2 linked regions of the Oryzias latipes genome follow. The protein of the gene in region 2 purifies or fractionates together with the protein of the main gene of each other region. This does not show direct contact. Links are inferred from orthologs where the notes say so. Each region holds a gene or a part of one and is shown on either strand. Other genes may lie near its edges.

Region 1 (4,276 bases), on a different chromosome or scaffold from region 2:
CACAAAAAAACATAGTCAGAGCTGCGAAGAGGCGGAGACAATACCTCGCCACTGATGATGTCAATCACAGATTCATAAACGCTAACAGGAAGCTGTGGAGGAGCGGGACAAGCAGGTTAGAAAAGCTCTTCACACGCACACACGCCCCTCCATGACTGAAGAACAACTCACGTCGGTGTGTTTGGTCATCGGGTTGAGCTTGAGAAAGAGCGGGCTCTCAATGATCTCACACACCTGTCACAGAACAGACAAACGTTTAAAGAAGCATTGGTGAGAGAAGGTTCGACCCAAAAGTGGATCATTTCCAGCTCAGCATCACTAAGTCTGAACATTTTGCTGCAGTCGAGCATGAAGCGCCGGCGTTTCTGTACCTGTTTGTGGATGTGGATGTCAGACTGGTCAGGGGGCCCCCCTGTGGTGTACCAGCCCAGGAACTCCATGTCTTTGAAGACCTGTTTAACTGAAACAGCAGAATTCAACAATTTATTTGCCAAAAATCAAAAGAAAACAAAAAACAGACTTTTACAAATGTAAATGGTGATTAGATTACTTTATGTACTTTATGTGGAGAAAAAGAACAATCGGACATTTGTTTTGTAGTTCAGAATTAGGACTCACTCACATCTAAGAGACAAAGAAGGTTCTAGCTGTTTACAAAAGAATTAAGCCAATTTTTGACCCCAAAAAGTAAATAATTTGCTTTAGAAAAAATTAAAATCAAATATTAAAAAACATAAAAATGAAGTTTTATTTTGAGATTAACCGTTTGGAATGACATAACCTTCAATTTAATTCAGTTTATTTCAAAACTCACAACTGAATCTTTGACTATTTATTCTTTTAAATCCAGCAGGACTGTTTTAGCCTCATTCAGTCCACATTTTAGGACTGCTGGTCCAGAGTTTCAATAAAGAACACGGATTGAGAAACCCAGCTTACACTGCTCCTCCTTGGTGTAGTAGTACTCCTTATCGATGTGCACTTTGTCGTCTATGGTGTGAGACATTAGTTCAAAGGAGTTCATCACTTCTATGTTTCGACCCTCTTGTTTCCCGATCAGAGCGCCGATCACTAAACAAGGAAAACCCACGATCAACCAAAACAACACAAACATGCCTGAAAAACACACGTTCAAGAGCTCCGCTGCTTCAAGTAAGAATACTGCATTCATAGTGACATTACTGGATAAGATGATGAATTTTAGTCATGTTCTGAGTTCCTAGTTAACACTAAAAGATGTCTCTGTTTGAAAAAAAAAGTACAAATCAATCAAAACCACTGATTGTATGTGAGAATTGGAGTGCGTTAGTGTGACATCACCCATAGAAAATGGCTTATTTCTGGCTCCAAGCACATGAAATCAATTCATTTGCCTTTTTTTTTTGTGAAACAGACATGACCATGTTGGAGCCAGAAGACATCAGTAAACGTGATTGGTCAACGCGTGGAGCTACAGTTTAGCTTCATCACAGATACCCTGCATGGGTCGGCCCTCCTGAGAGCGGATGCGGATCCAGTGGTCAGATATGTTGAGGATGACCAGAGGGTGTAAGGCCACAGAAACACTCCCAGTGACCCCCGAGGCCATGACACTGGGGGTGGCTGCAGACACACAAACAGCAACAACTTCAACAAAACAGGAAATACAAGACACAAGGAACACAACGTAGATTTTTCACAATAAGATATAGTATGACATATCAAATAATTGGCTGTCGTGTTGATGAGACATTTACAAATAAAAAATAATCCTAAAACAATTCAAGAGAGGATAACACCTGCCTAAACATATTCATACAGGCCTGAAGATTGATCTTTAAACCTAAGCTGTTTACCTTTTAGTTTTATCTGTCATTTTTGTAGTTAATCAATTGATAAAGGAAAAAATTCATCGGATGTATGACAATGTCCAACACATCAGCAGCTGCTCATGTTTTATTTTACACAAAGATGCTCATCTTAAGCAGGTTGAGCACTTTTTCATCCTGTAGATGTCACAGACTGAATAAAATGGCTTCGGTCTGATGTATCTGAGGTTGCAGGGGTCTGCAACCTGAGGCTCCAGAGCCACATGCGGCTATAAAGACATTCAAAAAAATTGAACAAATACTTAATTAGTTTAACTAAGCAAATATTCTTATAGTCTACTGTCAAGTTGTTGCTTTGAGTCAAAGTTCTTAAAATATATAATTGCATTTACATGTATAGATTTTTATTTTTATTTGGATTTTAAACCAATGCACACATCTTTATGTTGATAGTAAAAGGATGAATGCTCACCTAAAATTAAATCTGTTGAAGCAGGAGGATCTTTTGACTTAGGGTGCATTTTATTTTGAAAGGAACGTGTATGTGCTGCTGTCTGAAGTAAAGAAGTTAAACTTGCTCTTTTTTAGTAAAATATAACACCTTTGTGATTCTATTATTGTCGACATGTAAAAGAAAGCTACCTGTTACAATAATGAATAAAAAGCCACTGAAGTAAACAAACAAAAAGTGTATTTTTCTAAATGTTTAGGCCAGACTTTGTGGCTCTCGTTGGGTTTTGATCTGTAAGAATCTGGACCAAGTGGCTCGTTTCCCGTTAAAGGTCTCAGCCCCCTACTCTAGATGAATGAATACAGTAGCATTTGGGAAACTATCAAGTTGTTTTCCTTCTTTAAACAGCGCTCGGTTAATCTGGATTTAGATTATATAGCATTTTAAGGATGGGTACATTGTTAAGTGACTGTATTTATAAACTCAGCTGCGCATTACTGAGTTAGATCAGAGAAAGCGACAGTAAATCCAGAATGATTCATCACTGACTGACCGTTAACCTGCTTATCATGTTAGCAAAGCTTTTGTAGCCAGAAGCTTTAGCGCCGCCAAATCTTTCCGGCTCACAAACCAGCAGAGACACAAAACACGCGGGGCCCTTGGTGCGCGCGTACATGTTAACGTCGGGCTCCAACGGTCTGATTTAAGACAAACACTTGCCTGCCCCGTCTACCTCCATTCCTCCACCATTGCTGGTCGCCATCTTGTCCGGTAGACTGCGCGTGCGCAGTGGACTGTTGACCTAGCGAACGATAGGTGGCAACATCACATATTTTCTGAACATTTATCAATAAGGCGCGCGGCAGAGCTGATGTCATAAACATTTTTAAAATTTAAATAACTACTTAGACGTAGACTGAGTATGTTCAGAGAAACCCAGGCCCGTTGCTTTGAACTGTTAAATGAACTGAACTGTTGCTAACCAGAAGCTGTTTCCTGGGGATTACTGATTAGAGCGCAACCCGTGTGCATCCGGAAATTAGTCCGTGTGGAAGGTTTTGTTTACAGAATGGATGAATTCAAAGGCTGCGATTTGGATTACTTCCCCGAAAACATCTTGATAGACGTGTTGTCGTTTTTGAGCGTCAGAGAGCTTGTTCGAGCTGGAAGGTATGAAAATGTGGCCCTGCTGAATGTGTTGGATTTTTGGTTCCCTGTTCTTTCTATACAATGCAGCAGCATGCACAGACAGACAGAGCCAGCTGGATGATCTCCCTTTGTTGTTGTTGTTGAGACTTCTGTCTGGCGAGTTTCTAATGGTTTCCACATTTTCTCCAGGGTTTGTAAGAGATGGAAACGGCTGGTTAAAGACCAAAGACTGTGGAGAACAGTAGATCTGACTGCTTGGAAAGGGGTAGGACTGTGGTTTCAGTTCCTGAATATTAAGTATTAATATTAATTCTTCTGTAATCGAATGGACACAGTAATAAACATGGATAAAAAATATGTGATGTTTGAAACAACCGTGCTAAGGCTTTCTTTTGTTAGTTTATGTCCAATTTTTTTAAACCTTCACTAAAAACAGTGACAAAGGTGCACTTTTTTTCTTGTATTATTATTTCTACTATAATTGGACACGTTATTTAAAATGTTGTTAATTGTCCTTTGTTAGGAAAGTAAGTCCCAAAAAAAAAATAGGCCTCCTTTTAGGTTTCTGATGTGCATGTGTTTGAGCTTATATCTCATTATTTATTTAATCAGTTTTCTCCTCGTTATTGTCACATGGTCTCTTCTTTTTTCTTACATCAGGTGACATCTCGCATCCTTTGGGTCTTGCTGCGTCAGTACTTTGGTTGTGGACTGAGGTGCCTTCGCCTGCGTGGCTTGCTGCTTTCTGCCCGGGGTGGAACCTTTCTCTCAGAGTCCTGGCTCAAAGCTTTGTCCACTAAATGCCCTCGCTTGAGTAAGCTATGCCTTCTACATGCAGACTTGAGAACCTTACCCAACTGCCACCTCT
Region 2 (4,524 bases):
TTATTTATGTTACAATGAACATGAATTAAAATTCCACCGTATTCCAAATGAACAGTTTTTTTTGGTAAAAACAGGTTTCCCTAACTTAACTAAATTGGTTTTGGATAGAAATAAAATAAATAAATAGATCTAACAGCTGAATATATTCTGGATGGATTCAGTAATGTAGCAGTGTCCTCCAGCCCTACCCTGTTGCATGCTGGTAGATGTCAAAAAATACAGTTACCTGTACAAGCAGTCCATGTAGTCAGCGCCTTTGCTGTATTCCTCCCAGTATCTGTGGTACATCACTAAAACCTTTTCCTCCGACTCCAGAACTTTCTAGAAGTACATTCAGATATTATTACTAAAAAGCAAGAACTTATGGGGGAAGAAGCACTTCTTTTTTTTCTCCCGCAAGAGCGTGAAAGGCTTACCTTGTATAACTGTCGGACATGATTTTCAAGAAAAATTTTGGTCTCCGTGTATAATCTTTCCCCCAGGGGTTCTGGGTATGCAACACATAAGGCATAAATGTCGCTGGTGTCTGAGGTCAGGATCACAAACCAAGAAAACATCTTTTTTCAGACACATTTATCTCAACAATAGCTAATCTGTATTTAGAAAAAGATGAAGAACCCATCTACCCTATAAAACAGTGGTCCGCACCTTTTTCAGGCCATGGGCCGGTTTAATGTCAGACAAGAAACGAGGTTCAAGTGGCCGTCCGATTTGTTTTTTTAGCTAAAGGTTTTCCTTAACTTTTGAGGGTAAAGTCGATCTTCATCCTCTGTGAAATATTTGCCACTTCTCTAAACTTTATTTGTACACTAGATTTCAAGTAGGAACCATTAAAAAGGGATATAGATTTTCCCGTAACCCATAACTGTCAAAGTAGAGGCCAAAAAATCTGATGCCAACTTCAGCCTCGTCAGACTTTTAGGGTTCCACAAATATAAAAAATAAATGAATAAATAAGACATTGGTCCCTAAAACTTTTTTCTACTGAAACAAACTTTCCATATGTGTTTTTTTTAATGAACTTTGCCAGCCTGGGGGTCTCAATTTAACGGTCGGAGCAGCAGCTTTAAGAAAGTAGAGGATGGTTTTTTAAACGTGATCGAGCAACTTAACATGCATCAAGAATGAGTGGAATGTGGTGAAGAGAGTCGAGGACTTTTCCCAAATAAAACTTCTTTCAAAATCAGATGATAAAGAAAATGGGAAAAAATGTAGGTCGTGTTTTTTTCTCTCTCCCACGGACTGGCCTGGAGGTTGGGACCACCGCTATAAATTGCCTACAATCTTTAAAAAAAAAAAAATCTTTAAAAGGATACGAGAATCTGTCATTCCAGGTGGCTCTTTCAACATAGTCGAGCATCACAACAGCCTTGATTGTCGTCAGTAACTTGTTCCATGTTTCATCAAAGTCCACCACCCGCGGCTTTAAGGACATTGTAGTTTTTCCTTCAGCCTGACTGAAAAGAAGAAAAGAACAGGAAATATTGAAAGATGTTAAAGTCCCATTCCTTTAACTATGATTATGCAGCTTTTAAGTCCAAAAAATTAAAAAAAAAAAAACTTTCATTTTCTAGGCCATACTTTCTGCAGAGCAGTCCGCCCCACTTTCCATCACCCATCTACTCTCCCACTCTCGTACAACCCCTCACACACCAAGCCCAACATTACCAATGCAACAAAAATGGGAAGCAATATTGGAGCAATCCAGCTGTACAGTTTTGAGCCAGATTCCAGCTGAGACGAGGAAAACAGAGACGTACATGAATGCATCAGAATGGAATGGAGCAGGGAGCTTGTGGCCCGGTCACTGTAGCTTCTACGTCACAAATACGATCTTTTTCAGACAGCAGTTTTTCATCTGCTCCTGACTCACAACAATTTGAATTTAAAAAATACTCTGAAATGCAGTCTTAGGTTCAATTTTCTTTATATTATGTCCTCCACCATCAGAAAAACGCCACAAGAACATGTTATAAACACCAAACACAATTTTTACTGGAGTGGGTCTCTAAATGTTTGTTTTGACAGCACAGTCACCAAAATAAAGGCTGTATGACAAAAAAGAAACTGATAGTAAAAAAAAAGAAGAAGAAGGAAGCATCATCAAATACAAAACAAAAGTATACGAGGATTTCAAAACAGCACCTGGGAAATTAAACCAATAACACGATTTGAACATCTTTACCAAATAAAACATAGTAACAAGGACATTTTTAAAACAATTCTTTTGATCATGGAAACAACACTCCATAGCACTATTATGTCTGATAATCATTCTGTTCAACAAGAAGAGGCTAACAGCTAAATATTTTGGAGAAAAGTAAAGAGAAAACCTCTGAGCAGCAGCGAAACACTTCATAAAAAATCTATCAACGTTCAAATTAATGCAAGCAGTTGTAATTATTACGTCAAGTGGGAGAAAGAAGGCCCTGTATGTGTTCTTTCATGTTTGTCGTCATTCATTTCAATTGCTATAACGCAACATTAAACATCTCAACATTTGTCTTGAAAAACCACGTCAATATTTATTGTGACTACAATTATGCTACCGAATGCTGTCTCTCCATTTTAGCATCCCTCTGACATGTTTGTTGAACCTAGCTAAAAAAAAAAAGGTACAAGCTAGCGGAATGCCAATCCAAAAATAGGATGTTGAGCTAAAATGCTAGCTTACTGCGCGTTAGCATGTCACTTCTTCCTGTTCAACTGAAGGCAATTTTAAGGCAAAAGCTAGCAATTAGCCAGCTAGCTGGCGGCTAACGATTGCTCAGCTATAGTTAGCAAATTGTCATACAAGAAGTTTCCCTACGTAAACCTTGACATTACGGCAAAGCGTGGCGCTGATGTTGAAAAAATCTGATTACTTATTATAAGCAAAGACTTTACAACTAACCTTAATTCAGTAATTACTTGTTTAAAAACTCCGGTTTCTCCGCTGTCACAGTACTGATTTGACTCACAGGTCTTCCCAACCACTAGGAATATACCACTTGACTTAGGTGAACGTTACAGACAAGTGTTTATACTTTGTATGAATTTTAGGAAACAGTAATTTGTCTGAATTGTATCTAATATAAATTCATTAACAACAGATCATAGATATAAGCTTTACATTAACTAAAGCGCGGCAACGTTAAAAGAAAAACCCCAACCAAAAAATGGTATCGCCCAAAACTACGGAAACCTTAAGGAATCGAATTTTTCAAACACCGGTGTATTCTGTTTTTATATGCTCTATTTTTTTTGAGGGGAAATGTGCATTTATTCCATTTGTGTTTAATACAAATTAAATTAATTGATAAATACAAAAAATAAACACTTCATATTTGCCTCACTTTTAAATAAGTAAAGGTTTTTCCAGAAGCTACTTGTGCCAAAGTAGCTTGGCTTTGCACGTTCTTTAATCTCTTTGGTAAATTTTCTGTGATTTCTTTTATTACAAATTTTCACTCTCCCTTTTTTTGCTTTGAAAACATGCATTGTTTGGCTTCCACCACCATAAGAATATGCCGCTTAAATTTGAATACATCCTGACTGCCTGCTACTTCAAACTAAATCCCAAATGTTTCTTTATTTTTGTTGAAGGTCAGACTGTGTATTGAATCAATTAGTTAAAAAAAAACGTTCAAATGTCATAACTGACTATTAGTACTTACAGTGTTGTTCTTTATTTACTACATCCCTGATTAGCTAAAGTTAGTTTTAGTGCTTGTTTGAAGAAATATATCATAGCTGGTAAAATTAATGCATTTTGGACACAAATTTTTGTTAATCAAAACATTTTTAACTATAAATTTGCAATTTTTTTGTTTTGTTTTGCTCTGCTTTGTTAGAAAAAAATGGAAAATATTCAACCAGAAGAAGTTGTTTTTAGCTTTTACCAAAAACTTGAGGTATATTTTGAATTCCTTACAAGAGTATTTTTTTTTTGCTTGCTTAAAGAAGGAAGCTGTTATTTTACAAAAAGGAGGATCAGATGCTCCTTTATATAAATCTTCATTTTTCTTTTATACAAATACAGTCTTGTTTTCCATAGAATGACTTCCAGGGTGATGCAGCTAAATACAGAAGAGAGTGATCAGTCACAATAAGCTCCAGCTTCTCCCAGTTTGATTCCTTCTTACCTGCAAACTAACAACAGTAATGCAGGTAAACATGTCGATAGTGGTTAACATGACCACCTCCACACCCACTGGTTTGTGTTTTCCTTGGTCTTTCAGGGCTGTGTTTTGATTCCCATCTCGACTTTTCCCCTTCGGATCTTCAGGGCGTTACAGATAACCAGCCATTTACAAACAACCCACAATTTTTAATTGTAGGAGCCACAAACACGCCAGTTGGTCCAGTTCAGACAGGTAACCCCTGCTGTTTTCTCTTAAAGTTATTTGTTGTCAAATGTGATTTTTTTATTTGTTTTGTGACAGTAACAGCAATACAAATATATATATCCTTAATCTCTCCTAAAAACATCTAAAAATATTTTCCTGTAATCCATGTGGATTGTATTAAATACATACATTTATA

The links.
Region 1: the proteins of cul2 (region 2) and cops6 purify together in Homo sapiens (affinity purification with mass spectrometry; 5 studies listed by BioGRID and IntAct, counting the BioPlex papers as one, with this or other methods). This does not show direct contact. The link is inferred for Oryzias latipes from reciprocal best matches to the Homo sapiens genes CUL2 and COPS6.

What each region holds. Positions count from the first base shown.
Region 1 is NC_019868.2:6,644,718-6,648,993, forward strand, and holds the start of cops6 (COP9 signalosome complex subunit 6), read right to left. Parts: upstream 3,062-4,276; 5' UTR 3,023-3,061; coding exon 2,980-3,022; intron 1,603-2,979; coding exon 1,477-1,602; intron 1,072-1,476; coding exon 940-1,071; intron 461-939; coding exon 372-460; intron 235-371; coding exon 172-234; intron 93-171; coding exon 45-92; intron 1-44. Other genes in the region: fbxl12 (F-box/LRR-repeat protein 12), read left to right, coding at 3,329-3,429, 3,598-3,673, 4,069-4,276. UniProt on the Homo sapiens protein: Component of the COP9 signalosome complex (CSN), a complex involved in various cellular and developmental processes.
Region 2 is NC_019878.2:9,092,232-9,096,755, forward strand, and holds the start of cul2 (cullin-2), read right to left. Parts: upstream 3,019-4,524; 5' UTR 2,894-3,018; intron 1,458-2,893; 5' UTR 1,436-1,457; coding exon 1,317-1,435; intron 520-1,316; coding exon 417-519; intron 322-416; coding exon 227-321; intron 1-226.